7 linked regions of the Danio rerio genome follow. The protein of the gene in region 5 binds, or shares a complex with, the protein of the main gene of each other region. Links are inferred from orthologs where the notes say so. Each region holds a gene or a part of one and is shown on either strand. Other genes may lie near its edges.

What was found.
Region 1: mediator of RNA polymerase II transcription subunit 26-like (region 5) and med31 share a complex: the UniProt entries of both Homo sapiens proteins name them as parts of the mediator complex. The link is inferred for Danio rerio from reciprocal best matches to the Homo sapiens genes MED26 and MED31.
Region 2: mediator of RNA polymerase II transcription subunit 26-like (region 5) and med18 share a complex: the UniProt entries of both Homo sapiens proteins name them as parts of the mediator complex. The link is inferred for Danio rerio from reciprocal best matches to the Homo sapiens genes MED26 and MED18.
Region 3: mediator of RNA polymerase II transcription subunit 26-like (region 5) and med24 share a complex: the UniProt entries of both Homo sapiens proteins name them as parts of the mediator complex. The link is inferred for Danio rerio from reciprocal best matches to the Homo sapiens genes MED26 and MED24.
Region 4: mediator of RNA polymerase II transcription subunit 26-like (region 5) and med20 share a complex: the UniProt entries of both Homo sapiens proteins name them as parts of the mediator complex. The link is inferred for Danio rerio from reciprocal best matches to the Homo sapiens genes MED26 and MED20.
Region 6: mediator of RNA polymerase II transcription subunit 26-like (region 5) and med23 share a complex: the UniProt entries of both Homo sapiens proteins name them as parts of the mediator complex. The link is inferred for Danio rerio from reciprocal best matches to the Homo sapiens genes MED26 and MED23.
Region 7: mediator of RNA polymerase II transcription subunit 26-like (region 5) and med16 share a complex: the UniProt entries of both Homo sapiens proteins name them as parts of the mediator complex. The link is inferred for Danio rerio from reciprocal best matches to the Homo sapiens genes MED26 and MED16.

What each region holds. Positions count from the first base shown.
Region 1 is NC_133196.1:43,308,451-43,312,392, forward strand, and holds the start of med31 (mediator of RNA polymerase II transcription subunit 31), read right to left. Parts: upstream 2,801-3,942; 5' UTR 2,661-2,800; coding exon 2,639-2,660; intron 2,143-2,638; coding exon 2,068-2,142; intron 1,883-2,067; coding exon 1,786-1,882; intron 1-1,785. UniProt on the Homo sapiens protein: Component of the Mediator complex, a coactivator involved in the regulated transcription of nearly all RNA polymerase II-dependent genes.
Region 2 is NC_133191.1:7,708,827-7,713,113, forward strand, and holds the start of med18 (mediator of RNA polymerase II transcription subunit 18), read right to left. Parts: upstream 2,801-4,287; 5' UTR 2,535-2,800; coding exon 2,462-2,534; intron 690-2,461; coding exon 136-689; 3' UTR 1-135. UniProt on the Homo sapiens protein: Component of the Mediator complex, a coactivator involved in the regulated transcription of nearly all RNA polymerase II-dependent genes.
Region 3 is NC_133187.1:11,200,937-11,204,436, forward strand, and holds part of med24 (mediator of RNA polymerase II transcription subunit 24), read right to left. Parts: intron 2,349-3,500; coding exon 2,255-2,348; intron 939-2,254; coding exon 839-938; intron 1-838. UniProt on the Homo sapiens protein: Component of the Mediator complex, a coactivator involved in the regulated transcription of nearly all RNA polymerase II-dependent genes.
Region 4 is NC_133197.1:578,330-581,997, reverse strand, and holds the end of med20 (mediator of RNA polymerase II transcription subunit 20), read right to left. Parts: intron 2,393-3,668; coding exon 2,139-2,392; intron 920-2,138; coding exon 695-919; 3' UTR 501-694; downstream 1-500. UniProt on the Homo sapiens protein: Component of the Mediator complex, a coactivator involved in the regulated transcription of nearly all RNA polymerase II-dependent genes.
Region 5 is NC_133186.1:5,668,093-5,672,234, reverse strand, and holds the start of mediator of RNA polymerase II transcription subunit 26-like, read right to left. Parts: upstream 2,801-4,142; 5' UTR 2,655-2,800; coding exon 2,586-2,654; intron 2,039-2,585; coding exon 1,961-2,038; intron 1-1,960. UniProt on the Homo sapiens protein: Component of the Mediator complex, a coactivator involved in the regulated transcription of nearly all RNA polymerase II-dependent genes.
Region 6 is NC_133195.1:2,599,294-2,602,793, reverse strand, and holds part of med23 (mediator of RNA polymerase II transcription subunit 23), read left to right. Parts: intron 1-92; coding exon 93-258; intron 259-677; coding exon 678-750; intron 751-2,328; coding exon 2,329-2,543; intron 2,544-3,500. UniProt on the Homo sapiens protein: Required for transcriptional activation subsequent to the assembly of the pre-initiation complex. Component of the Mediator complex, a coactivator involved in the regulated transcription of nearly all RNA polymerase II-dependent genes.
Region 7 is NC_133186.1:14,629,193-14,632,692, reverse strand, and holds part of med16 (mediator of RNA polymerase II transcription subunit 16), read right to left. Parts: intron 3,194-3,500; coding exon 3,060-3,193; exon of another isoform or gene 2,897-3,059; intron 1-2,896. UniProt on the Homo sapiens protein: Component of the Mediator complex, a coactivator involved in the regulated transcription of nearly all RNA polymerase II-dependent genes.

The sequences.
Region 1 (3,942 bases), on a different chromosome or scaffold from region 5:
GTTGTAGTGATGTTCTCTTTTCCCTGAAATCATATGAAATATTTCATTGATTTGATATTTTTAATAAAATATTGCATTGAATTATTTAGAATGCTTAAATCTTTTCTGTTCAGTATCACACAGCACTAATGGTAAGCGACCTACAATTTGGCACCATATTGTCTGTTTTTGCTTTATATTGACAAATAAAATAATATAACTTTATAGTTTAGGTTATGTAAACTGCAGATTTATGGAACAAAATCAAAGTATTGTTAAAAAAAACAAAAACAAAAAAAAAACGTATTGAATAGCACAAACTGAAACAAATAATATATTAAATTAACAACTGCTTGCATTTTAATGACTTGGATTGCCAGAGTTTGTAATTTTAGGTCTTGAAATTTAACACAGCTGTTTATTTAAGCTGTAAATATTTCAATTAAAAATTTTTCAAACACGTTTTTATACTTGAAAATTCTTATACTTATTTTATACTTAAAAATAATAATTCTTAATTTCCGGATTTCATGTATAATATTCAAAAGACAATTTTCAACTCACTTTATTTCAGTTCAAAAGTTCTCTTCCATTAATTTAGTGGATCAAATTCGGCTGTTAAAATTTAACAAGGACAATATTAAATGCTACTTTTGTGCTGTTATTAGCTTTTTCCCTTAAAAAGGGAGTTTTTAAACCTTTATTTAATGGTTTAAAAATCTTAAATTGGTCCACCTGCTAGTGAAAAAGCAGCTGGAGATTGCCAATCTGCAATCTATTGCTGTTCCTGCAGTTCCCGGAAGTAATGTCGAATTTTAAGAGCCAAATTTAAACCACTGAATTTTTGGAAGCAAAATTTTAAACTGAAAAGTAAACAAACTGAAAGTTAAATTTTGAACATTATGCTTCATATTTTTCACCAGTATTATATATTTAAAAATTGAACTTTTAATATATATATGAAATCTGGAAATTGAATATGAATTGTTGAAATTTTAAGTATAAAAACATGTTTAAAATATTTTTAGTTGAAATATTCACAGCTTAAATAAACAGCCGTGTTAAAATTCAGGCCCTAAAAATACAAACTCTTGCAATTCAAGTCATTAAAATGCAAGCAGTTGCTTATTCAATGCATTATTTTTTTTCAGTTAATGCTAATCAACAAACTTTTTATTTCAATACTTTTGCCATTAATTTTGTTCCATACAGATTAGGCACACATACTAAACTTGTAATTCAATTTACATTTTTAAATACAACTATATACAGCTAAATTATTAGACCACCTGTAAAATTCTTAATTCCTTTTCAAATATTTTCCCAAGTCATGTTTAGCAAAACAAATATTTATATTTCTATTCTAAACTATTACGTTTTAACTTATATAGAATGTCTCATTTCTTTATTCTGGTGGCATTAAAAGAATAAATTTCTTAAAACGTTACGGTCGATATTTTTCACCCCCTTAAGAACTTCTTATATTCGACTGTCTACAAAACAAACAACTGCTGTCAAATGACCAGCCTAATTGAGCTAGTCAATTTTTTAAACAGGACTTTAAGCTGAATAATAGTATTTTACAAAATAACTAGTAAACTAATAAATAATTAATAATACTAACTAATAAATAACTAATAATAAATAACTAATAAATATTATGCACTAGAACTACACGATATTGAACAAATTTTATATCCTTCTTTCTTTCTTTCTTTCATGCTTTTATTAGAAGCACTCATCATCCAAAGAAGAAATGTTTGACAAATTAACAATCTATTTCAACAAGAACAACATGTTACTTACTTTAGAAATTTAGCATATTCTGGTTCCTTCCAATAAAGCAGATACTTTAAATAATTGACGAAAGGCTTCTCTCTCAGGTAACCTCTCTGAGCCAGAACTGCAGGATGGGGGGAAAAAATTAAGATTAATAATCATTATCCATCTTCATATTTCGACCACAGTAACAAAATTACCTTGAATTTACAGAATGTAACAACCAATGAGTGAATTTGACCAATGACTAAAGTAATGACTGAATTTAGCGAACAGTAAAAAAGAAACAAGAGTTAACGTTGTTCTTACAGTTCAGGTAGTTTGGGTTTGCCAGACATTGAACAAACTCCAGCTCCAGCTGAAAGCGCTGTCTCGCCTGCTCGTCTGTCAAAGCACAAATAGAAGCGTAAGCAATGTTTGTGTTTGAAAAGAAATAATACAAATAATCATTAGTAAATGTATTCATGAACTACCAACGAACAATACTTGTATTAGTGCATAATTAAAATGCAAGTTCATGCTTGACATTAGTTGATGCACCGTAAGTTGAGATTACTTTATTTCATTAATACTTTTAACAAAGACGAACAAACACTGTAATAAATATAACGATTCTTGTTTGTTCATGTTAGCAAACATTGGCTAACGACGATACTACCTTAATGTTAAGTGTTACAGAAATTGCTTGAACAACATATATCTGCGCCAGTACAGAAAATAACACATAGTGTAGTACCTCTAAAACGTTGTATAACTTAATATGATCAAAACGAAACTAAAATACGTTACCAAACAATTGTATTTACGTTAACTGTCACATTGCTAGGAATCTCGTGGGCAAAGATGTGCTAAATAACAATTCAATCTAATTTTAACAAACCTGTTTCCATAACACCAGCCATTACGGACAACGAGAATTCAGACGACGCTGAAATATCTGGAAAATGATTAGTATAAAAAGATTTTTTAGAGCGCGATTACCAAAAACAACACATTACTCATTGTTTATGCGGACATAGACCGCTGACGCCATTTTTGCCATAAAACCAGTGCTGCTGTCGTAAAAGTGTTTCACGACATTTGCACCTTTTTTTTAAATAATAAAGAATGAAAACTTACAACCACAATCAGGAGATCAATATAAGAGAGATACAAAATAGGAACAATACAAACTACATTTGTAAGGGGTAAGTAAATTACACTTGTATAAAATTGTATAAAAATAAATTAATTAAGAGCTATTTAACTCAAATCAGAGTCAACAGTTCTTCATGTAGAGCCAAGTATCTGACACATTTTTTGTTGTTGTTACACGTACGCAAAGATTTGAGCAGGAGTCAACTTTAATGAGAAAATGTCGAAAAGTAGGGACTGAAACAATGCATATTTGTATAAAATATTTCCAAACAAGATAAAAAGTTGAAAACAAATTCTTCAGATTTATTCTGAGTAATAACAAACACTTTATTTTAAACTAAAATATTGTGCAAAGGTAGGAGGAGTGTTTAATAACGATAAAGGTCAAACCAAAATTTCTGAACAAATTCACACATACAAAATAATTGTATTAAAGTTTCATCATCCTCACCACAAAATGTACAACTACTCGGAATATCAAAATGTTTAGAAACAAATAAGTAAGCCGAATAAAGTTCAGGCAATATTTTAAAAAAGTATTTATGAGGCATTTGCACCTTTTTTTTTCGTAGTAATATTTGTAGCCTACAAAATACATTTTGTGACTTGGAATATAAGAAAAAAAAATCTATTTTCCATGATAATTTGGTTAAAAAGGTGTTCTATTGGTCTCACAGCTTAAAAGATGAAGGATATTTACTGACTTATAGGCTACTGAATTTTTTTGAGAAGTTTAGTTCCTGTGCCTCCACAAGGCCTGGCGGGGCTTTTGCAGAGTTACAGTGAACCAAATAAACTAACAGTTAAAAATGAGATTTAATTACATGGTGTTGATTTCAAAGATAGAAAATGTAATAATAAATTTTGTAGACGCTTGATTTATTATCTTGCCACTTTTAGACACAAATACTTTTGGAATAATCTGAGAATATCTATTGGAACTTGATCTGGACTTATAACAACAAGTATTGTGTCACTAATAAAGTGAAATTATACATAAAATATATCCAACCAACCAATTTCTCAAAAGATGATCAAAAGTTGATC
Region 2 (4,287 bases), on a different chromosome or scaffold from region 5:
TATTTTTATTTAAAGATTTTAATTAGCATTTCATCAATTACAAAAAAAGAAAACAATCATCAAAAATATTCCAAATAAATGCAGTCTTAACACCTATTCACCGAATTAAAAATCTCAGTCTGTAGGTCATGTTCTCTACATGAGTCTTTTGGGATCAATCTTCTCCAGGTGAACGAGAGGTTTGAGCTGTTCTGCGAAGCTCCTCATGTCCTCAGACACAGTGTCCTGTCCCGCAGGAGCCAGAACGCTCAGCTCAACAAGATACGACAGAGAGAGCGGCTCCGTGTTATCCGTGTTTCCAGGAACCAGCACACGCGACAGTTTGCTCACCACCACCTTCATCACACCCTTCCGGAACACCTGACCCTTGGCCACGAACTCATGGTCCATGCGGAAGCCCATCTCATTGAGGAAGTCAGGCAAGCTGTGCGAGGCTGCCACGTCCACGCAGTTCCGCACCAGGGCATGACGGCTTTTGTCGCCCACCTCGGGCTGACCCAGATAGCGCAGGTGCCAGGGGACGGAGGGGTCGAGGAGCGAGCGGCGGGCACGCAGGATGAACGGGTTGCCCTGCTGACCTTTCAGGAGATACACCAACTCGTGATCAGCAAAGCTCTCAGGCTCCATGTTATCACACAGGCCCCGGAGGCGATGCAAGAGACTCTCCAGAGATTGGTCCAGTACACTGCCTGTGCCAAACAAACCAACAGAACACAGCCAAGTCAAGATGGATAGATAGATAGGGGGTGGGATGGATGGATGCATAGATTAGGGGCATAAATAGATAGATAGATAGATAGATAGATAGATAGATAGATAGATAGATAGATAGATAGATAGATAGATAGATAGATAGATAGATAGATAGATGGATGGATGGATGGATGGATGGATGGATGGATGGATGGATGGATGGATGGATGGATGGATGGATGGATGGATGGATGGATGGATGGAAGATTAGATGGATGGACGGACGGACGGACGGACAGATAGATAGATAGATAGATAGATAGATAGATAGATAGATAGATAGATAGATAGATAGATAGATGGATAGATAGATGGATGGATGGATGGATGGATGGATGGATGGACGGATGGGGGATGGATGGATGGATGGATGGATGGATGGATGGATGGAGGGAGGGACGGATGGAGGGACGGACGGACAGACAGACAGACAGATAGACAGACGGACGGACAGACGGACAGACAGACAGACAGATAGGGGAATGGATGGATGGATAGATAGATAGATAGATAGATAGATAGATAGATAGATAGATAGATAGATAGATAGATAGATAGATAGATAGATAGATAGATAGATAGATAGACAGACAGAAAGACAGACAGAAAGACAGACAGAAAGACAGACAGAAAGACAGACGGACGGACGGACGGACAGATAGATAGATAAATGGATAGATAGGGGAATGGATGGATGGATAGATAGATAGATAGATAGATAGATAGATAGATAGATAGATAGATAGATAGATAGATAGATAGATAGATAGATAGATAGATAGATAGATAGATAGATAGATAATTTAAGCCTGTTCCTATACATCAATAAAAATAAAATTGTAATTGTGACTAATTTGTCTCAAGTAATGTCACAATTTCTCGCAATGTGGTGTCAATTTCTTAGTTAATGCTTAATAAGTCACTAAAAAAAAGATGTAATTGTTTTAATAAATTTAGTTATTAAATAATACATTTCAGTTGTATTTTTTTACTTACATTAACTTATTAACTGTAATAAATGTCGATATCCCTCACTGTGGCTTTTTGTTTTAATGTATGAACTAAGATTTACTAATGAGACCATATTTTGAAAGTGTTATTGATTATACTTTATGAATTAGCTGTATAATTTTGTTAAAAATGTATTTACTCCGAACACACACAAATCTGGTAACGGTTTAAGTAGGAATGGTAATATATGACCAAATAAGCAAACTATATTATGCAAACAATAAGACTCAGCAAAAAGAACTCTCGTGTAGCACAGTGCATGCTATAATTGTATAATTTAAATTATAACAATTGTAAATTATAATACTACAAACACTACAATGAATACATTGTATACATACTATTATTATGCTAAACTATTCGTTTTATATAACGTTAGCACATTCATAAAGTAATACTGTAGTACATGTTTTTATTATACAGAATCCCAAATTAAAAGTCTTAAGGAATTAAAGAAGATTAGGGTGCGTTAAATAAAAATAGTTTAAAACGCTAGAAAATGTGTGTGTATTGTTTATAATTACATATTCACTTTAACATATTCAACGCTTTATTCAAATGACTTTGCTAATTAAAAAATTGAGATTGCTCATAATGGGTATTTAAAAACTAAGTTAAAACTATTTAATAAAGTGTAACAAATGATAAATAGGAATGAATGAATGGTAAAAGGAGTTGTGCTGATGGTGTTGTTTACCTTGCAGAAGATACTCCATCATGTTTATAGTTCCACCCGTGACGGGCATCACAGTAACCGGCGGAGCCTCCATCACTCTATTATTATTACTATTACTAGTATTATAATTCTGAACTTAAGTCTCTTAATACATTTACAGTCAACGATCAGTTGAAAGATTAACTTAAACTAGAACTTTAACTGCTGTAGAAAACATCCACAACAATAGACATGCTAAGACGTGTTAGAAGATATTATCAACAAAAAGCAGGCAGACGATGAATTAAAAATAGCATATATTGTACTTGTATCAAAAAGCAATAAACAAAACTAATGATTTGCGTAAAATACTACGAAAAAATAATGTGTCTCGATGAAACTGCGTCCATGTGAGTAAAGCGCATGCGCAGTATGGATAGCGAGTACTGCGCATGCGCATTGTGCAACGCTTGCTCTATTCTTTTAGGCGTGCATTTAGTGACACCTACTGGACTGAAGTGAACTCTTTATCATATAAAATGGGTATTAAAATTGAGTATTATTAGCCTATTATTAATAGCAGGAGAACATCAATTATGGTTGCGAAAAGCCGATTGCCCTGTTGATCAAATTCAAGTCAAGGTGTTTGCTTGCAGAAAAACTAATGGCTCTAAGAGGTGGGTGTGATTTTGCCAATGCAATCATGGAGTGACATCTATCCTGGAACATGTCCTACATGAAGAAATAATTAGGCTATTCCTAAAATACAATATATTTTTTTTTATGGAGTAATGGAAATCACTATTTTAAAATGGAAAATTATGTGTAAACAAAAATGCAATGGTGGGTTATCGGTGTTCATTTTTTAAAACTTTAAACAATACATTCAAAATTAATTGGTTAATTAAATACAAGAAAGAAAAAGACAGTAAATGGTATACTTTTCCATATGGCGCAGTAGGTAATGCTGTCGCCTCACAGCAAGAAGGTTGTTGGTTCGAGCCTCGTCTGGGTCAGTTGGCGTTTTTGTTTGGATTTTGCATGTTGAATGTCCCTCCCTGTAGGGACTAAGCCAAAAAGAAAATGAACGAATGAATGAATGAATGAATGAATGAAGTTATATTTTGTGTCAAAATTTAGTCAATGAGGGAAGTTACTTTAAGTATATTATACGTTTCAGTGCACTGGCAGGACTTTTTTTATTAATATTGTTATTATTATCATCATCATCATCATCATTTATTATTATTATATTGTTATTTTATTATTTATTTTTTCTAGCATTTTCTTAGTTATGTGCATTTCTCATAAATACCTAGTTTTATAAGCTCACGTTAAGCATATTTTCCAAAAATTATATTGTTTTAATAATTGTTATTATTTCATATCATATTATTTCCAAATAGCTTAAACATGCATATTTACCATTTACATGCAGTACGTACGTATGAACCAATGGTATGAACCATGAACGCAAAGCAGTCGAGTAACTTTTATTGTGGAAAACATTAAATGCACTGTGACGTTTATTTTGAAAATAAATCGACATGTGGAGACCTTTATTTTGAAGTTTCGTGCCATCTTAGGGCTGCATGACATCGCTGGCTGTTGAAGATGAGCTCAACTGTAATGCTTCCTGTCGACATCTAATGAATGTAATTTACTATTATGTGTCTTTTACTTACGTTTGGATGCAGTAGTGTTTGTAATCGAGACAGTTATGGTGTTGTTACCAGCTCCAAAGGTGTGTCTCCGAGTGCTGTGTTTTTCTGTCAGTCCTTATTTATTTACACACATTATCAGTCTGACACCTTCAGATAGGCGAATAAATGCCTCAAACACATTAGATAAGTTGGTCTTTTAAAGAT
Region 3 (3,500 bases), on a different chromosome or scaffold from region 5:
GCTAATGATTCTGACTTCAACTGTATATAAACCAATGGTTACAGGCTTCCAGCTTTTTTCAAAACATCTTCTTTGGTGTTTAACAGAAGAAAACAAGTAAAGGTTTGAATCAAGTAAAGGGTGAGTAAATGACAGAACTTTCCTTTTTAATTGAAATTTTAAAATGATCCCTCAGGCAAATAAGATAACTGGTTACAAACAACATGCATTGCAGATTTGATGTAACTACTTTCAAAAAACAGCAATTGAGTTTTAAAGATCAAACACATCCCCTTCACTCAGCGTATGAAATAATACATCAGGACATTTAAAATTCCTAGAGACTGAGGAAATGCTTATAAAAACTTGTTTTATTATTATTAATTGTGGTTGTTGTCCTAAATCCAAACTTTTTTTGATGTAAATTTGGTGTTTGTTCTACATTCTAATTGTTGTATGATTTTATTTATATGTTAAATTCAGTGTTAAAGACAAATTTGCCTTCAGTGACAAGCAGAACAGACAATAAAGTTTAAACAAACACGTTTACTGCATTGTCTTCTGTAAATTAGGTTGTATATGTATTTTTCAGTCATTGTGTCAGGAGTATACCAAGTTCTACTGCCACAGGAAGCTCTAAACTGATGCAAGACAAGTTGCATATTTGTGGGGAGTTTTCAGCAAAAAACTGCAGTATATGCATTTTTTACAGCACACTAAAAGTGAAATTTCTTGATTGACTAATAGACACCAATGGCATATTAACCCCAAAAGTGAAGTTCAGGTGCAGTACTGAGCAGTATATAATTTTAATGCAGTTGTTATAGGTTTTGTTTGGTTGAGGCAGGCAGGATATGACCTGGACTGGACAGCATAGAATTCTCGTCCTCATTGGAGCTCAGCAAACGCATCAGTTTAGATGGCTGTGTGTCATCCAAAGGGAACAGGCTGGTGTAGTCCTGCAACCAATGAAAGAACAGTGAATGAGCTGAAGTGTTTATAAAATCATGAGGTGTACACACATAATACACATGTTGATTTTGCAGGCAAATGTGTGACCCTTTATCAGATTTCTTAATCATTTTTTTTCTGTTATTTCTGAATATTAAAATAAAAGAATAATAATAATTATTATAATAATAGTTAGCCAATGTTGATTGTATTCAATCTTCCATAATTGTAATTTCCCCAAAACATAATTGCAAAAAACATGAATTTATAGTTATCTAACTAAATTATTTCTAATTTAATTAATGTATTATTTCTTCTCAGCACATTTCTGTCAATACCAGTGTAAAAACAGCAAATAAAATGTGTCACCTGCTTGCAATATCCTTTTAATGAAAATGTCCATAATTATAAATAAAATACAAGCAGTTATTAGTATTTGAAATTCTGATGACAGACACTGGACACAAGTGAAATAAAGAAAGCGAAAGTGATGTCTACAGTTGCTATCTATCACAGTCTATCAGAATTATTAAATTCCCTGAATTGTTAAGCCCCCCTGTTTATTTTTTCCCCAATTTCAGAGAAAAGATGTTTTCAACACATTTCTAAACATAATGGTTTTTAATAACTTCTCTAATAACTAATTTCTTTTATCTTTGTCGTGATGACAGTAAATAATATTTGACTAGATATTTTTCAAGACACTTCTATACAGCTTAAAGTGAAATTTAAAGGTTTAACTAGGTTAATTAGGTTATATATATATATATATATATATATATATATATATATATATATATATATATATATAAATATATATATATATATATATATATTATATAAAAAGGGGCTAATAATTTTGAACTTAAAACGTTTATATAAAATTTTAAAACTGCTTTTATTCTAGCCGAAATAAAACAAATTAGACTTTCTCCAGAAGAAAAAATATTGTCAGACATGCTGTGAAAATTTCCTTGCTCTGTTAAAAATCATTTGGGAAATATTTAAAAAAAAAGAAGAAAAAAAAAAATCAAAGGGGGGCTAATAATTCTGATTGCAACTGTATATGGCTATATGGTGATTGTGTTAAATGTATGGAAATTTACATACAGCTACACAGCCTATATCTACTTTGCTTTAACGACCACTTTATTTTTATTAAGTTAGTGTGGTTAATGAAGATATGAATGAGATTCAAAGATGAATTATATGCTTGGTAATAGTGAGCGCAAAAGAGACTAATTGTGCTTTCATTTTAAGCTCATTGCTCTTAAACTGTCAAAGTTCTGATAACGCTAGCTGTGTGAAAAACAGCATAACTGACCTCTATATCCTCACGGTGTCTTTTGCGTTGTCGTGCTGATGCTTGACCCTTATGATGAGACGAGTAAGAACTGAGAGCACACCACACTGATAACCTAAACAAATAAACAGAGATATTAAATACCTCAAACAAAAAAATAAAAAATAAAAATAAAAATAAATAAATATATATACACAGTTGAAGTCAGAATTATTAGACCCCCTGTTTATTTTTTTTCCCCAATTTCTTTTTAACAGAGAGATAATTTTTTTCTATACATTTCTAAACATAATAGCTTTAATAACTCATTTCTAATAACTATTTTTCATGACACTTCTATACAGCTTAAAGTGACATTTAAAGTCTTAACTAGGTTAATTAACTCAACTAGGCTGGTTATGATAATTAGGCAAGTTATTATATAACAATGGTTTGTTCTGTAGACAGTCAAAAAATTAGCTTAAGGGGCTAATCATTTTGTACTTAAAATTGTGTTTAAAAAATGAAAAACTCAAGTCGAAATAACACAATTAAGACTTTTTCCAGAAAAAAAAAAAATTAAGTTATTCAGTTAAACATAATTTGTGAAATACTTAATTATTTTTTTTTTTATTAAAATCAAAGGAGGGCTAATAATTCTGACTTCAACTGTATCTATAAAAACATTGTGGCTTTCGGTTCCTAACTGTTGGCTTTGAGATGAACAAAATCGCAGACAAAGATAAAGCTGACATTGAAAATGGCATCAAAGCAGTTCACCGACTGTCGACAAGGGTGTTTGACAACATCTAAAGAACATCTTGAGAAGAGAAACTAAGGGAAAAGCGTGATATTCATCAGAACGGATGTCCGTTTATAATCTCAGACTGAAAAAAAGTAGTAAGTGGACGTAAGCAAATCAAAAGAGGAACTAGAGTAAAGAACGGAGGTCCATTCATAAATATATACACTTTAAATCCATGAATCAACCCTTTCTAAGAAATAATCAATCAAAAAACAACCATCATAGTCTGTAAAGCCACTGGGTCAGAGTACCACTTCTCATTCCATATTAACACAAGTAGACAATGACGTGCGTTTTCCAATTGGTTTGAATAATAGGATGAACAGTAACAGGATATAAATGTCAGCATTACTGAAAATTTGTAGAAATGGAGCACTAATGATCTAATCTGGCACAAAATAGGCTAAGCTTCAATTCCTGACACAAAGTAGAATCCCATGATGTCACTGCAATGGTACTCAACATTTTTTGAGTCAAAGTAAA
Region 4 (3,668 bases), on a different chromosome or scaffold from region 5:
TTGGGTATTTTTTAAAGTAGAAAAACTTTTTTTATTAGTGCTTTGTGCAAAGAGTAATCACATCCAAAATAAGTGTTTCAACATAATACTGTGTGTGTGTGTGTGTGTGTGTATATGTGTGTATATATGTTTGTATATACATGTGTATGTGTATATGTGTGTATGTATGTTTGTATATACATGTGTATGTGTGTATATGTGTTTATATATGTAGGTATGGTATATGTGTGTGTGTGTGTGTATATATATATACATGCAAGATTGTATTTATGTACACACAATAAATACACACTACACACACTTGCATTACTTCGAAACAAACTATTTTGGATGCTATTTTTAATTGTGTTGAAATTTTGCGCAGCACTATTTTCCATGCGTTGATGTATGTTTTTTTTTTTCTTGCCAATTAGTTTACAATACAACACAACACTGTTTTGCGGACCTGAAAACACAAATGTTCAAAAACTGGTCGATTTTGAATAAATAAAGGAGTAAAATTCAAAATTAATTAGTTTATTTTACAAAAAACAAGGTCAAACACAGGAAGTAATTGGCTATATAAAAAACAACACATGAACAGATGTATTTCGCAGAACTTGCAATCGAAATAAATGAGAAATGTTCTCATCACATAGCTTATATAAAGTTCTCTCTATATAAGGACACACAGTGCGCTAGTGTTTGTTCAGTTTTAGCGTACGCCGCTGCCTGGCAGGACCTGCTGTTTGCGCACTTTACTGAAGAGCTCCAGGTATTGGCTCATGGTGTCCATGCAGTCCACCGGCACGTACAGACCCTCCGCTTTATTCGTAAACACCGTCGGCAGCTCGGGCGTGTTAGAGCCCAGAAAACTTTGCATAAATTCCTTCATGAGGTTCCAGCAGTCGCCGGGAATCACACACGCGCAGTACTCCACCTGCACACACACACAGCGCAATTAGCATACATTTCTCCATTTTAAGTTAAGACAGTGGGACTTATTCAAACACATCATATTTTATTACGATATATTATTTATTATTATCAATTACATATACAATGTACAGTAACTATTAGCTTTCACACAATCTTGTCAACTACGTTAGCGGTCCTCATTACCACTAACGGTATTGTGTTAGCAGTACATTCCCAATAGCGATTTAAGACTTACTAAATTAGTGAACGATAACTATAACGGTAACTATACATGTGTCCATACTAGCATGCGATAAGTATAATGAAAATTATATTAGCATTCAGACTAGCTAGCAATAATTATATTACTGTCCACATTAGTGAGTGATAACAACAACTATACTAAAAGCTAAATAGTCGACACCAGCAGACCATAATAAATATATTAACATTTTACTAGCAAACAATTATTTAAACGTTAACTATTTTGTTCAAACTATTGAACGATAACTATTTTAGTTTCCATACTGGCAAATGATTAGTATAATTGCTATATTTGCTACTTGTTACTATAATCATACTATTGAACGATAATTATATTAATGTGCACACTAGTAAATTATAGCTAATATCAGTGTGACACGCAAATGAAAAATAACCGTAATAGCTACATTAGAGTCCAGACTACCGAACAATAACTATATTAATGTCAACACAAGTGAACGATAACTATAGCATTAATAAATTAGCGTTCACCTTACTGTTAAGGCTACGGTTTGCTAAAGTATATGCTAATATTAGTTAACGCTATAGTTATTGTATGGCAGTCTGGACACTAATATAGTTATCATTTTAGTTATTTCTCACTAGTGCGGACATTAATATATTTATTGTTACAGTTATGTTTCGCTAGAATAAATGCTAATATAGATAACGCTATAGTTATTGTTTGGTAGTATGGACACTAATGTAGTTATTGTTCCCCAGTGTGGACACTAATATAGTTATCATTGTAGTTATCGTTAACTAGCGTGGACGCTAATATAGTTATCGTTCACTCATGTGGAGACAAACAGTTATCACTCACTAGTGTGGACTCTAATATAGCTATAGTAATAAACCTGCTGCAGTTTTGATGAGTAATTTTTGCGTACAATTCTTGTAAATTCATAATAAATGTTAGTATGAAACTGATACAACACTCATAACGTGTATTTAAGCTACTGAACACATTTTAGTACCTCGACTGAAATCCCTCGTGCGCTGGAGCTCATGGCAACAGTGCCGATCTTCACCAGAAAGTCGCAGTAGCGATAGCGAGTGCCGCGACTCTCCACTTTGTGTCCTTTTGCATTCTGAAAGTGACTCTTGAGTTTGATCATGAGGACGTCGAAGTTTGCGTCGGCGCTGAGTCCCGGTCCGCCCTCGAACAGAGCCATGCAGCTCAGTGGCGCCTCTGAGTTGTGCATCACGTACAGCAGCTTTGACGGCTGACCTGTGGCAGACACGTTTATATATATATATATATATATCGTTTTATATGTAATATCAGAGTATATGTAATAACGGTTAATATGTGATCTCATTTTATTTGTAATATCAGATTATATGCAATCTATAAAATTATTTAATCTGGATTATATGTAATTGTTTTATATTTAATATTGGTTAAATTGTAATATCGATATAACTAATATTGGTTTATATGTAATCTCATTTTGTATGTTATATCGGTTTAATTGTATTATCGGTTAATATGTAATTGGTTTATAGGTAATCACGTTTTATAGGTAATATCGGTTTATGTGTACTCTCGTTTTCTATGTAATCTCGTTTTATAGGCAATATCGGTTTATATGTAAGATCGATTCAAATGTAATCTTGTTTTATATTTAATATTGGTTTAAATGCAATCTTGTTTTATAAGTAATATCGGTTTGTAAGTAATCTCGTTTTATTTGCAATAGTGGTTTATCTCGTTTTATATGTAATTTTGTTTTAAATGCAATATTTAAAATGTAATCTCAGTTTATGTAATTTTGTTTTATTAGTAATATTGGTTTAATTGTAATCTCGTTTTGTATGTTATCGGTTTAAATGTAATCTTCTTTTATTTGTAATATTGGTTTAATTGTCATACCGGTTTATAAGTAATCTCGTTTTGTATGTTATATCGTTTTAATTGTAATATCGGCCTGTATGTAATCTTGTTTTATTTGTGATATCGGTTTAATTGCAATATCGGTGTTTATGTAATCTCATTTTCTATGTAATATCGGTTTATAGGCAATATCTGTTTACATGTAATATCGGATTAAATGCAATCTTGTTATGTAATATCGGTTTGTATGTAATCTTGTTTTATTTGCAATCTCGTTTCATATGTAATATTGGTTTGTATGTAAAATCGGTTTATTTGTAAACTTTTTTTATATGTAATATCGGTTTGTATGTGATATCCGATTATATGCAATCTCTAAAATTATGCAATCTTGTAATCATATTGCAAAAATCAAGATCTTGTAATTATAATAAACTCCTTTTTAAAATACTCGTAATCAAATTAGTTACTTTTTAATTACATGATTCCATTATGAACATTATTTTTATATATATATATATATATATATATATATATATATATATATATATATATATATGTGTGTGTGTGTGTGTGTGTTTATAATAAATATGCTGTGAATATACGTTTCTTATATTCTTTTCATTCTATGTGTGACATCAACTAAGGGTTAGCGCAAAAGTAATCTAAA
Region 5 (4,142 bases):
TCGAGCCTCGGCTCAGTTGGCGTTTCTGTGTGGAGTTTGCATGTTCTCCCTGCGTTCGCGTGGGTTTCCTCCGGGTGCTCCGGTTTCCCCCACAGTCCAAAGACATGCGGTACAGAAGAATTGGGTAGGCTAAATTGTCCGTAGTGTATTTGTGTGTGTGTGTGAATGTTTCCCAGAGATGGGTTGCGGCTGGAAGGGCATCTGCTGCGTATTAAGCCGACAAGAAAATGAATAAATTAATATGAGAAAGGTAATAATATCTTTTACAATACAGTTTTTTTTATAAAGGCAGTTATTCCACAAAATAAATTTAAAAAGTTGAATATTTAAGAAAAGGACTTGATCTTATTTGATTATTCATTCATTTTCTTGTCGGCTTAGTCCCTTTATTAATCCAGGGTCGCCACAGCGGAATGAACCGCCAACTTATTCAGCACATGTTTAACGCAGCGGATGCCCTTCCAGCCGCAACCCATCTCTGGGAAACATCCACACATGCTCATACACTACGAACAATTTAGCCTACCCAATTCACCTGTACCGCATGTCTTTGGACTGTGGGGGAAACCAGAGCACCCGGAGGAAACCCATGCGAACGCAGGGAGAACATGCAAACTCCACACAGAAACGCCAACTGAGCTGAGGCTCGACCCAGTGACCTTCTTGCTGCGAGGCGACAGCACTAGCTACTGCGCCACTGCTTCGCCTTATTTGATTATTTTATTTTAATCTTATAGAAATAGTTGGCAAAATATGATTTTAGATGAACAACACATTCCAGAATTTGCATCTCATTTAGGAGTCCGCTACTGTCCATTTCGGTCATGGACACATGCTTTGAGAGCATTTATGAATAAAATATGCAATTTTCCATGAAGTCAACCCGGGGTGTTCAAATATAATTGGCTAAACTGGCAGTGTAATTTTCGGTAGCATTTGCTGCATCATCGTTAGAATTTATTTGTAACATTTTGTAACGGCAGAAATAAATATGCATTCACACATAATTATGGTTGAAAATGTCAACATGGGTGAGGCAGTGGCGCAGTAGGTAGTGCTGTCGCCTCACTGCAAAAAGGTCGCTGGGTTGCTGGTTCGAACCTCAGCTCAGTTGGCGTTTCTGTGTGGAGTTTGCATGTTCTCCCTGCCTTCGCGTGGGTTTCCTCCGGGTGCTCTGGTTTCCCCCACAGTCCAAAGACATGCGGTTCAGGTGAATTGGGTAGGCGAAATTGCCTGTAGTGTATGAGTGTGTGTGTGAATGTGTGTGTGGATGTTTCCCAGAGATTAGTTGTGGCTGAAAGGGCGTCCGCTGTGTAAAAAACTTGCTGGATAAGTTGGCAGTTCATTCCCCTGTGGTGACCCCGGATTAATAAAGGGACTAAGCCGACAAGAAAATGAATAAATGAAATGAACATTTTTAAAGGTGGCACATTAATTTTAATAGCTGTATGACGTGAGTTTCTCTGAAGTGCTCACTGGTGGTCTGGTCTTTGCTAATTAAAATCTGAAAATTAGTTTTTTTTCTTCGTCTGCTCAACCTAAAATAAATTAATTTAGATTTTTTATAACCAGACAAGATGGTCACTCTATAAAATACTGGCTTGTGTCAACCTAAACCTGAGGAAGTTTGTGTTAATAACTCCAGCATATTTTAGAATGGCTGTTTTGTGCTCATCAGAGCAAGCTAATACATGTTTTGTAGGGTTTAGTAACGTTTTTATTTATTTATTATTTCTATAAATGTAATTTATATAATTTTTATTCATCATTTGTTTGTTTCATTTAAAATTGTGCATGTACTATTCAGCCTTTTCCCATATTTTGTAATATACTGCATTTGTGAAGCTGCTGTGCTCCTCCTTTGTGATTTTAGTCTTATTTATTCATGTTTTCACACAATATAACAACACATCATTTTCTAAATTAAACTCTGTGCAAACATACCGAGTTAGTATCTTACCTCTAGAGTCTCTTTAGTCATGGGGTAACTTTCCAGACAGCATATCACATCCAACACAGCCACCATGTTCTGTATCTGCTGACAGGTAAAGGTTAAGTTCATGTCACTTCAGACTTTCAGTCTACATCATCTACATTTACTGCTATTTTCCTCTATACACTGAGGTCAGTTTCTGTGTCTTTTTCAGACATGAACGTTCTCATATATTTTCTCATATGTGCACCTGGAGCAGTCACACTTTCAGTCATCATTTGTGGTTTCAAATGCAAATCTGCTTGCACGCTCATTCCTGTAAAACTCTGTGAAATAATGTCTATAAAACTTGCTTTAAAAAATAAATCCCACAACAGATTGAGCAAACCAACAGTCAACATACATGTAAAAATAAAATAAAACCAGCCAATCTTTCCTTTTCAATGAAACAACCAATTTGAAATACTGTAGTGAGGAACTTTTGTCCTTTAATTTACCTGAATTAATTAAAGGAATAAAAACAGTCATGCTTACAAATGACAAAACTTTAAGACAAAACTTTCATAAAAAAAAATAACAATCAAGAACACATTTAGCATAAACGACATGCATTTAGAAGGACTTCCCATTGCATTACTCAGCTCTTACTCACATTGTTTTGAGCATCGACGGCCTGCATGAGCTGCTCTTTGAGCTGTTGGATACTTGAAGCTCTTTTCATTGTCAGAAAATGACACTTTTAAAAACGACGTCCACTAATAAATGTACAACAGCATGAGAACACAAACAATATGCAAAGCCCTTTTTAAACCTGCATCGTCGATATGAAACTACTACAGCCAGTCCCGTTTGAGCTCAACTCTCCGTGTCCACATATGAATGCAAATGACTTAAATGGTTTCAGCAGGTGCAAGATGGGCTTTTAAACATGATTTAAAGAAACACTGCACCTTTTTCAAGGCTCTCTTTACAAGTCTCCTAGAGTTGAACAGCTGACTTGAAATGTTTTTTTTTTTATCCATTCAGCCATTTCTTGCTCTGGCGGGGTCACTTTTAGCTTAGCATAATGAATTGAATCAGATTAGACCGTTAGCATTCACTCTAAAGAGTTCAATTTTAGTCTCATCAGACCAGAGAATTTAGTTACTTATGATCCAAGAGTCCTTTAGGTGCCTTTTGGCAAATTCCAGGCGGGGGGTAGCTTCTGTCTGGCTACTCTACCATACAGGCCTGATTGGTGGATTGCTGCACAGATGGTTGTCCTTCTGTAAAGTTCTTCTCTCTCTACAGAAGAACGCTGGAGCTCAGACAGAGTGACCATTGGGTTATTGATCACCTCCCTGACTAAGGCCCTTCTCCCCGATCCCTCAGCTTAGATGGCCAGCCAGCTCTAGGAAAAGTCCTGGTGGTTCCAAACATCTTCAACTTATGGATGGAGGCCGCTGTGCTCATTGGAACTTTCAGAGCAGCAGAAATGTTTCTGTAACCTTCCCCAGCCTTGTTTTTTGAGACAATCCTGTTTCGGAGGTCTACAGACAATTCCTTTGTCTTCATGCTTAGTTTGTGCTTTGACTTGCAAGGTCAACCCTGGGACCGTATATAGACAGGTGTATGCCTTTTCAAATCATGTCCAATCAACTGAATTGACCACAGGTGAACTCCAATGAAGCTGCTGAAACATCTCAAGAATGATCAGTGGAAACAGAACGTACCTGAGCTCGATTTAGAGTTTCACGGCAAAGGCTGTAAATACTGATGTACATCTGATTTTTCAGCGTTTTTATTTTTAATAAATTTCTAACAATTTCAAAAACTGTTTTACATTGTCATTATGGGGTATTGTTTGTAGAATGTTGAGGAAATAAATTAATTTAATCAATTTTTGAAAAAGGCTGTAACAAAGAAATGTAGAAAAAGTGAAGCCCTATGAATACTTTCCAGATGCACTATATAGGGTTAAAGGGCACCTATGGTGAAAAATCTACTTTTCAAGCTGTTTGGACAGACATGCATGTATAGTGTATAGACCGTCATATTGGGGTGATATAAACACACGGCCCTTTTTTTTTCCAATTTAACACTACAAAAATGGACCAATTGGAGCGGTTTTCAGAGCGACCACAACTTGACGTAGGAGTGCAGTTCCCCCGCCCACCAATATTGATTGACAGGCGCGTCCCCATATCCTTAGTTTGTCGTTTTATGGGCG
Region 6 (3,500 bases), on a different chromosome or scaffold from region 5:
ATACCTTGTTCAACCACTGGGTGTCAGACTTATGTATTGCACCTTTAAATGTTAGGTCATTTAGAGTCCAGCGTCTCCTTAACCGAAGTCACCCATGGCAGGTAAATCTCCAGGCCCGTTCCCCAACTGTGACTGGAGGTTTAACGAGTTCCCGAACCCGGCCGCTCATGCGCTGCACGTCACCTGTGTGGAGCTGATGGCTCTGGCGGTCCCGGGGAAAGACGTGGGCAATGCTCTGCTTAATGTGGTGCTCAAGAGGTTTGTCATTAGGAGTTATTATAGGTGTGTTCGGAGTTGTCGAGTCATGCTGTGTGTTGAATTCATACTATTGCATTATTACCTGCTTATTATTACTATATTAACTGTTTATTAGTTGCTATAAAGTATGATTTTATTCTTCATCTCTAACCCTACATGATATCTAAACCCAACGCTTACCTTACTAACTATTAATAAGCTGCTAATTAGTAGTTTAATGAACTGAGGTCTTAGTTATTGGTGTGAATTGATTTATGCATTATTCATGTTGTTACATTGGTCACTATAAGGTTTCATTAGTTTGTGTATTTGCTAATGTGGTGCTCAAGAGGTGTGTTATCTTCATTACCGTGTGTGTGTGTGTGTGTGGAGGAGTGGAGTCATGCTGTGTGTTGAATTATGGGTCTGGTGTTTTACAGTCAGCCGCTGGTGCCTCGAGAGAACATCACGGCCTGGATGAACGCCATCGGACTGGTCATCACCGCTCTGCCTGTACGGCCACACCTTTATTTACATTTTGTGTGTGTGTGTGTGTGTGTTTTTTTGTGACATTTCAGGACCCAAATGTGTATAATGACATGGGTATTACAATAAGATGGTGACTAATAAATACATGAGTTTAAAAGAGTTTTAAATCGTTTACAGCGGGGGAATTAAATATTCATTGTGGCACCATTTTTCTCAGGAAACATTTTTCTAGAGGTGCGGCTGACTTTTCCCCAGATGTTGGTAACAACCAAAGAAATCCTTGTATGCACAGAAAACAAATCTAATTAGTTTACAAATGAAGTTCTGTGTAATAAAATGAAATGAAGCAGGGAAAAAGTATTGAACACATGAAGAAAGGGAGGTGTAGTTCTGCAGTGAAAGCCCAGACAGCAACTGAAATCTCTCAGTAGTGCCCTTCCTCGGTGTAAATGAATATCAGCTGCTTCAGTCCAACATCTACATCAGCAGGAGGATGAAGATGAAGCCAAGGTGGACATTTCAGCAAGACAATGATCCAAAACACAGCCAAGGAGACTCTCAGATGCCTTCAGAGAAAGAAAATCAAGCTGTAGAATGGCCCAGCCAATCACCTGACTTGAATCCAATAGAGATTACAAAATAAAGCTCAGATTTGATCCACAGAACCATCAAGATTTTGACTCTCTGTTGAAGTCTGTGAGAAACTCACACCTGAGCGATGCATTTTTTACTTCATTCTCCATATGAGAGGCGTCTTTAAGCTGCCAAATATACATATATTTTTCAGTACAAATGCACAGAGTTGAGAGGGTTGGGATTGTCATGGGATTTTATATGGTCCATTTCAGGCATTGAAAGTCAGAGAATTAAGTCTATACAGAGCTCATACACCACTCTCTTTTAAATCAGTATTTTCTAAACGATGCTTAACAGTAATAAACAGTTGATAATAATAATAATAATTATTATTATTATTCCTTACATTTATATAGCGCTTTTCTGGGCACTCAAAGCGCTTTACACAGTGGGGGAATCTCCCTTATCCACCACCACTGCGCAGCATCCACCTGGAAGACGTGACAGCAGCAATTTTGCGCCAGAACGCACACCACACACCAGCTGATTGGTGGAGACAGAGTGATGATATACCAATTATGATATGGGGAGGGTTAGGAGGCTGTGATGGACAGGCCAGTGGGCAGATTTGGCCAGGATGCCGGGGTTAAACCCCTACTCTTTTTCGAAGGACATCCTGGGATTTTTAACGACCACAGAGAGTCAGGACCTCTGTTTAACGTCTCATCCGAAAGACGGCGCTCACTGAGCAGCATAGAGTCCCCTTCACTATACTGGGGCATTAGGACCCACACAGACCACAGGTTGAGCGCCCCCTGCTGGCCTCACTAACACCACTTCCGGCAGCAACCTAGCTTTCCCCTGTGGTCTCCCATCCAGGTACTGACCGGGCGCAGCCCTGCTTAGCTTCAGTGGGCGACCATGTGAGAGTTGCAGAGATCTAGCTGCTAGTTGAAACCAGAAGACTGTGTTTTATTCCACGAGCTGCGCAGATCTGTGTTTAATGCTTTGTATTTCTCTCTGCAGGAGCCCTACTGGATCGTCCTGCATGACCGTATCGTGAGTGTGATCAGCAGTGCGGTGCTCAGCTCTGGGTCAGATTGGCTGGGTTACCCATTCCAGCTTCTGGACTTCACCGCTTGCCATCAGTCCTACTCAGAGATGCACTGCAGTTACGTTCTGGCTCTGGCTCACGCCGTGTGGCATCACTCCAGCATCGGCCAGCTCTCGCTCATACCCAAGTAAGACTTTACACCTGCATCACTTTTCTGCTGAAAAACTGGCAGTAGCTCTTTTATTATTCAGTAACACGTTAGTTTAAGGATGTACTCACACTAGGCTATTCATTTGACAATCGCGCCTGGGCACTGTTCAACACAACTATGCCTAGTGTGAGTACATCCTAAGTTTAAGTTTTGTTGGGAACCTGTTGCGTTCAGGCATATGTGGAAACCCACAATCGCTCTCTGATCTGTACCAAAACAATCGTTCGGAGATCGCCTGAATGTGGTGGTCTCGGCTCAATTAAATTGAACTCTGAAACAGTTCGGTTGTAGTGAGAAAGCAATAAGATCCGCATTATTCAATAGGAATGCTGTAATCATGCTGTTACATTGGTCACACTTTACTATAAGGTTTTCTCTGTTCTACACTGCTCTATTGTACTCTACTCTACTCTATATTGCTCTACTCTGCTCTACTCTATTCTACTCTATCTTACTTGGATATCTTACTTATCTACTCTGTTCTATTCTACTCTATATTGATCTACTCTTTTCTAAACTTCTCTATTCTACTCTTATCTTACTCTATTCTTCTCTACTCTATTCGACTCTACTCTTTTCCACTAAACTCTATTCTGCTCTATTCTACTATCTTACTCTATTCTACTCTACCCTATTCAATTCTACTCTACTCTTTTCTACTCTGATCTACTTTATTCTACTGTTCTCTCTTACTCTATTCTGCTCTATTCTACTCTACTCTATCTTACTCTATTCCGCTCTACTCTATTCTACTCTGATCTACTTTATTCTACTCTACTATGTCTTACTCTATTCTGCTTTACTCTATCATAATCTATTCTGCTATACTCTATTCTACTCTGTCTTACTTTATTCTACTCTACTATACTCTATTCTACTCTATCTTACTCTATTCTGCTATACTCTACTCTGATCTACTTTATTCTACTCTAG
Region 7 (3,500 bases), about 9.0 Mb from region 5:
CTTGTACTTGAGTACAAATTAAGCTGAGTAATCTACTTCGTTACTTTTATAATCACAATTCGTTACAGAGTACTGTCAATAAATTAATATTTCAGCCACGCACTGACCAGCATTTCGGTAGCCAATAAAAAAAGCTGATCTTAACGGACCAATGAAAAGCCTGGTACATTATTTGAACCGAAAAACAAGTTCAGGCTACTGCAGATTTACGTGACCGTCATCATACAATCACAAAGTTATCAATTGACATATGGAGATGTAAGACAGAAGAAATGAGGAAGAAATAGCAGAGGATGAATGCATGGCCACACCCGGAGGAGCTGTTCACCTACGGAGTGCAGAAACTCTTGACAATTCTGGAGGTCATTATTAATATAATATAATACTGAAATGGTTGAGGCGGTTTAGAATGACCAAAACAACACTTTAGATGTTTTACAATGTGCTTAGCCTGCTGGTTTGTCCATTCACACACATTTTCAAAATATATGCGCATTATAGCGTTTCCATCTACCGTTTTATGTGCATATCCAAAAAGCGCAAAAATAAGTGGATGAAACCTGCCCTCGGCTGTGCCATCCGGCTTACACAGGGTTTCTGTGGGGTCTTAAAATGTCTAAAATATAAACATCTAAATTTTAGCCCTTAAAAAGTCTTAAATTCGCTGTTCTAGATCTGAAATATGTTTGCACATGTCTTATTTTTCCGATGTACATGTAACGCTACTTCTAATGCTCATTTAATATAATTTTTTGTTGTTGCTTGGTTTCGTGGTGGTGTAGTTCTTTATTTCACTAGTCCTATTGTAATTTGCAGTATTAAAACTACAAATAAGCCCAGCATGCAATAGCTCAGTGCGCGCGGCGAATGTGACGTCATCGCCGTGTTTGCGGAGGTTCACTTTGGATGCGCGCGACATGATTTCGGGTGAACAGTTCGCGCGGCGCCGTGCTAGATTTGAGTTGAATTTGAATCACTTTGAAGAGATTTTGTTTGTAACAGTACGACTGTACAGACATCTTAACTATCCGACCATGCGTGGACAAAGAGATAACCAGATGACCGATAATTCTTGGCTAGAAATTGCAACAGCCATGGAAAGGAAGTGTTTTGTTAAAGTTTGGAAAAACCTGGGGGATAAGTTTGTTACAACAAAAAAGAGGCCATGGCAAAAGTGGAGACCCAGGTGGTTTTAAGATTACAGAATATGTTTTTCCACCATTTATAGGTTTTACACTGATGGATCATTTTGAAGTTAAAGCAATGTAACAAAAATTAAGGAACAAATTAAGTATTTGATAACTGGAAAATAATATATGAACCCATCAGCTTACAGTATACTGAAGCCCAATTTCTAGGCTTTATTGGTGATGATGGACAGGATTGTTGGACCATTATTGCCTTTTCAGCTCATTAGTAGAGGACAGAAACTAGCCAGACAATAATGTGTCAATTGTTGAGTGGGCAAAAAAAAAATTTTTTTTTGCTATTATTCTTGCCAGAATAAAAAAATAATAATTGTAGAGTAACCCATGTTCTGTTGTCATTGATATTTAACTTTAACAGGTAGAACTGTCCGTGATATAAACAAAAGTGAGTGATGCATCAAACTTTGATTTAAAAAATCTTGAAAAGATTTCATTCATTACAATCATTCATTAATTTTCTTTTTGGCTTAGTTCCTTTATTAATCTGGGGTCGCCACAGCGGAATGAACCGCCAATTTATCCCGCATATGTTTTACACAGCGGATGCCCTTCCAGCTGCAACCCGTTCTCATTTACAACAACAGACAATTTAGCTTACCTAATTCACCTAAAATGCATGTGTTTGGACTGTGGGGAAAACCGGAGCATCTTGAGCAAACCCATGCAAACACGGGGAGAACATGCAAACTCCACACAGAAATGCCAAATGACCCTGCCAAGGCTTGAACCAGCGACCTTTTTGCCTTGAGTCGAGAGCGCTACCCACTGCCCCACCCCGTCACCCAACTTTGTAATCATAATAAATTATAAAAATAATGAAAAATAATTATTTTTAAAATCTTGAACAATATTAAAGATATGACGTAGTCTTAAAAAGTCTTACATTTGACATTACGATATCTGCAGAAACCCTTTTTTTTTTTACAAGACTTCAGTCTATAATCTGAAAAAAAACATTATGGTAAGAAGACATAACTTAATTTGTGTGATATTTAATTTATTAATAATATGTTTAGGCACTAGGCAGTGTTGTTTTGTGGTTTCTGACGGTTCAGTTGGCGAATTAGGTAATTAACAAAGTTTCTCCATAATTTGCAAGTGTTTATTTTTTATATATTAAATCATCTATTGATCGTACAGATAAAAGAGGCATCATTTGAAATGATAAGAAGTCGTGCATTTGTGCATATTTCTGTTATCTTTATACTCAAAATAGCAAAACATTGTTTTTGTAAAATAATCATGGTGCGCAGTGGGTATCGCTATCGCCTCAAAGCAAACAGTTTGTTGGTTGAAGCCCTGTCTGAGTCAGTTGGTGTTTCTGTGTGGAGTTTGCATGTTCTCCCCATGTTGGCATGGGTTTCCTCTATAGGTGCTATATAATTATAATCTATAATTAATGCTGTTTACACAGTTTAAAAAGTGTTTATAGTATCTTTAGATGTGTTATGTAAAATGTGTTTTACTGCCTAAATCTTGTCTGACTCCGGATTTATGGATAATTCCACCAATACCGCCAAGCTAAAAAAGTAATTTGTAATTTTGTAATTTGAGTAGTTTTTACGAAGAGTAATTTGTACTTTTACTTGAGTACTTTTTAACACCAGTACTTTTACTTGTAATTGAGTACAATTTCAGCAATGTAACAGTACTTGTAATTGAGTACAATTTTTTTGTACTCTTACCACCACTGTTTAAAAGACACGAGAAGCAAGTGTAATGGTCAAATATGTCTGTCTAGCATGTCTTAACATTAAAAAAGCAATACAAAAGTAGAGGGTTGGAGAAGAAAAATGCATTCTGTGTAAAAGGCCTCAGATCATCAGTAAAGATCATCACAGCTGAGCTCACCTGGTTGGGAAGGTTGGCCAGCAGGTACAGAACAAAGTCTCCGACCCACTGAATAAGCTGCTGAAGGGACTGGAGGGGTGGTCCATCCAGAACAAACTCCTCTGTCTTCAGGTTGATCATCACCTTATCAATGTCTGAACACATATTAACAGATTAAAAGATGTGCTTAGTGTCAAAACAACAATAAATGTGTGTGGATAGGAGAATGCAAAGATTCATTCTATGTAGGTCTGTCATAATTATTAATTTGGTGATAGGGCTGTGCGATTTGGGGAAAATACCATACTACACTTTTTTTTTTTAAAGATATTACAATTTTGATGATTCAATTTTGTAGTCAAACTTCAGCTCAATAATCTTTATAGTAGCTTCTAATTGCTAAAATGCATTTAGAGTTATTTAAAAAAAGGAACTTAAAAGATACTAACTTATATTAGCAAA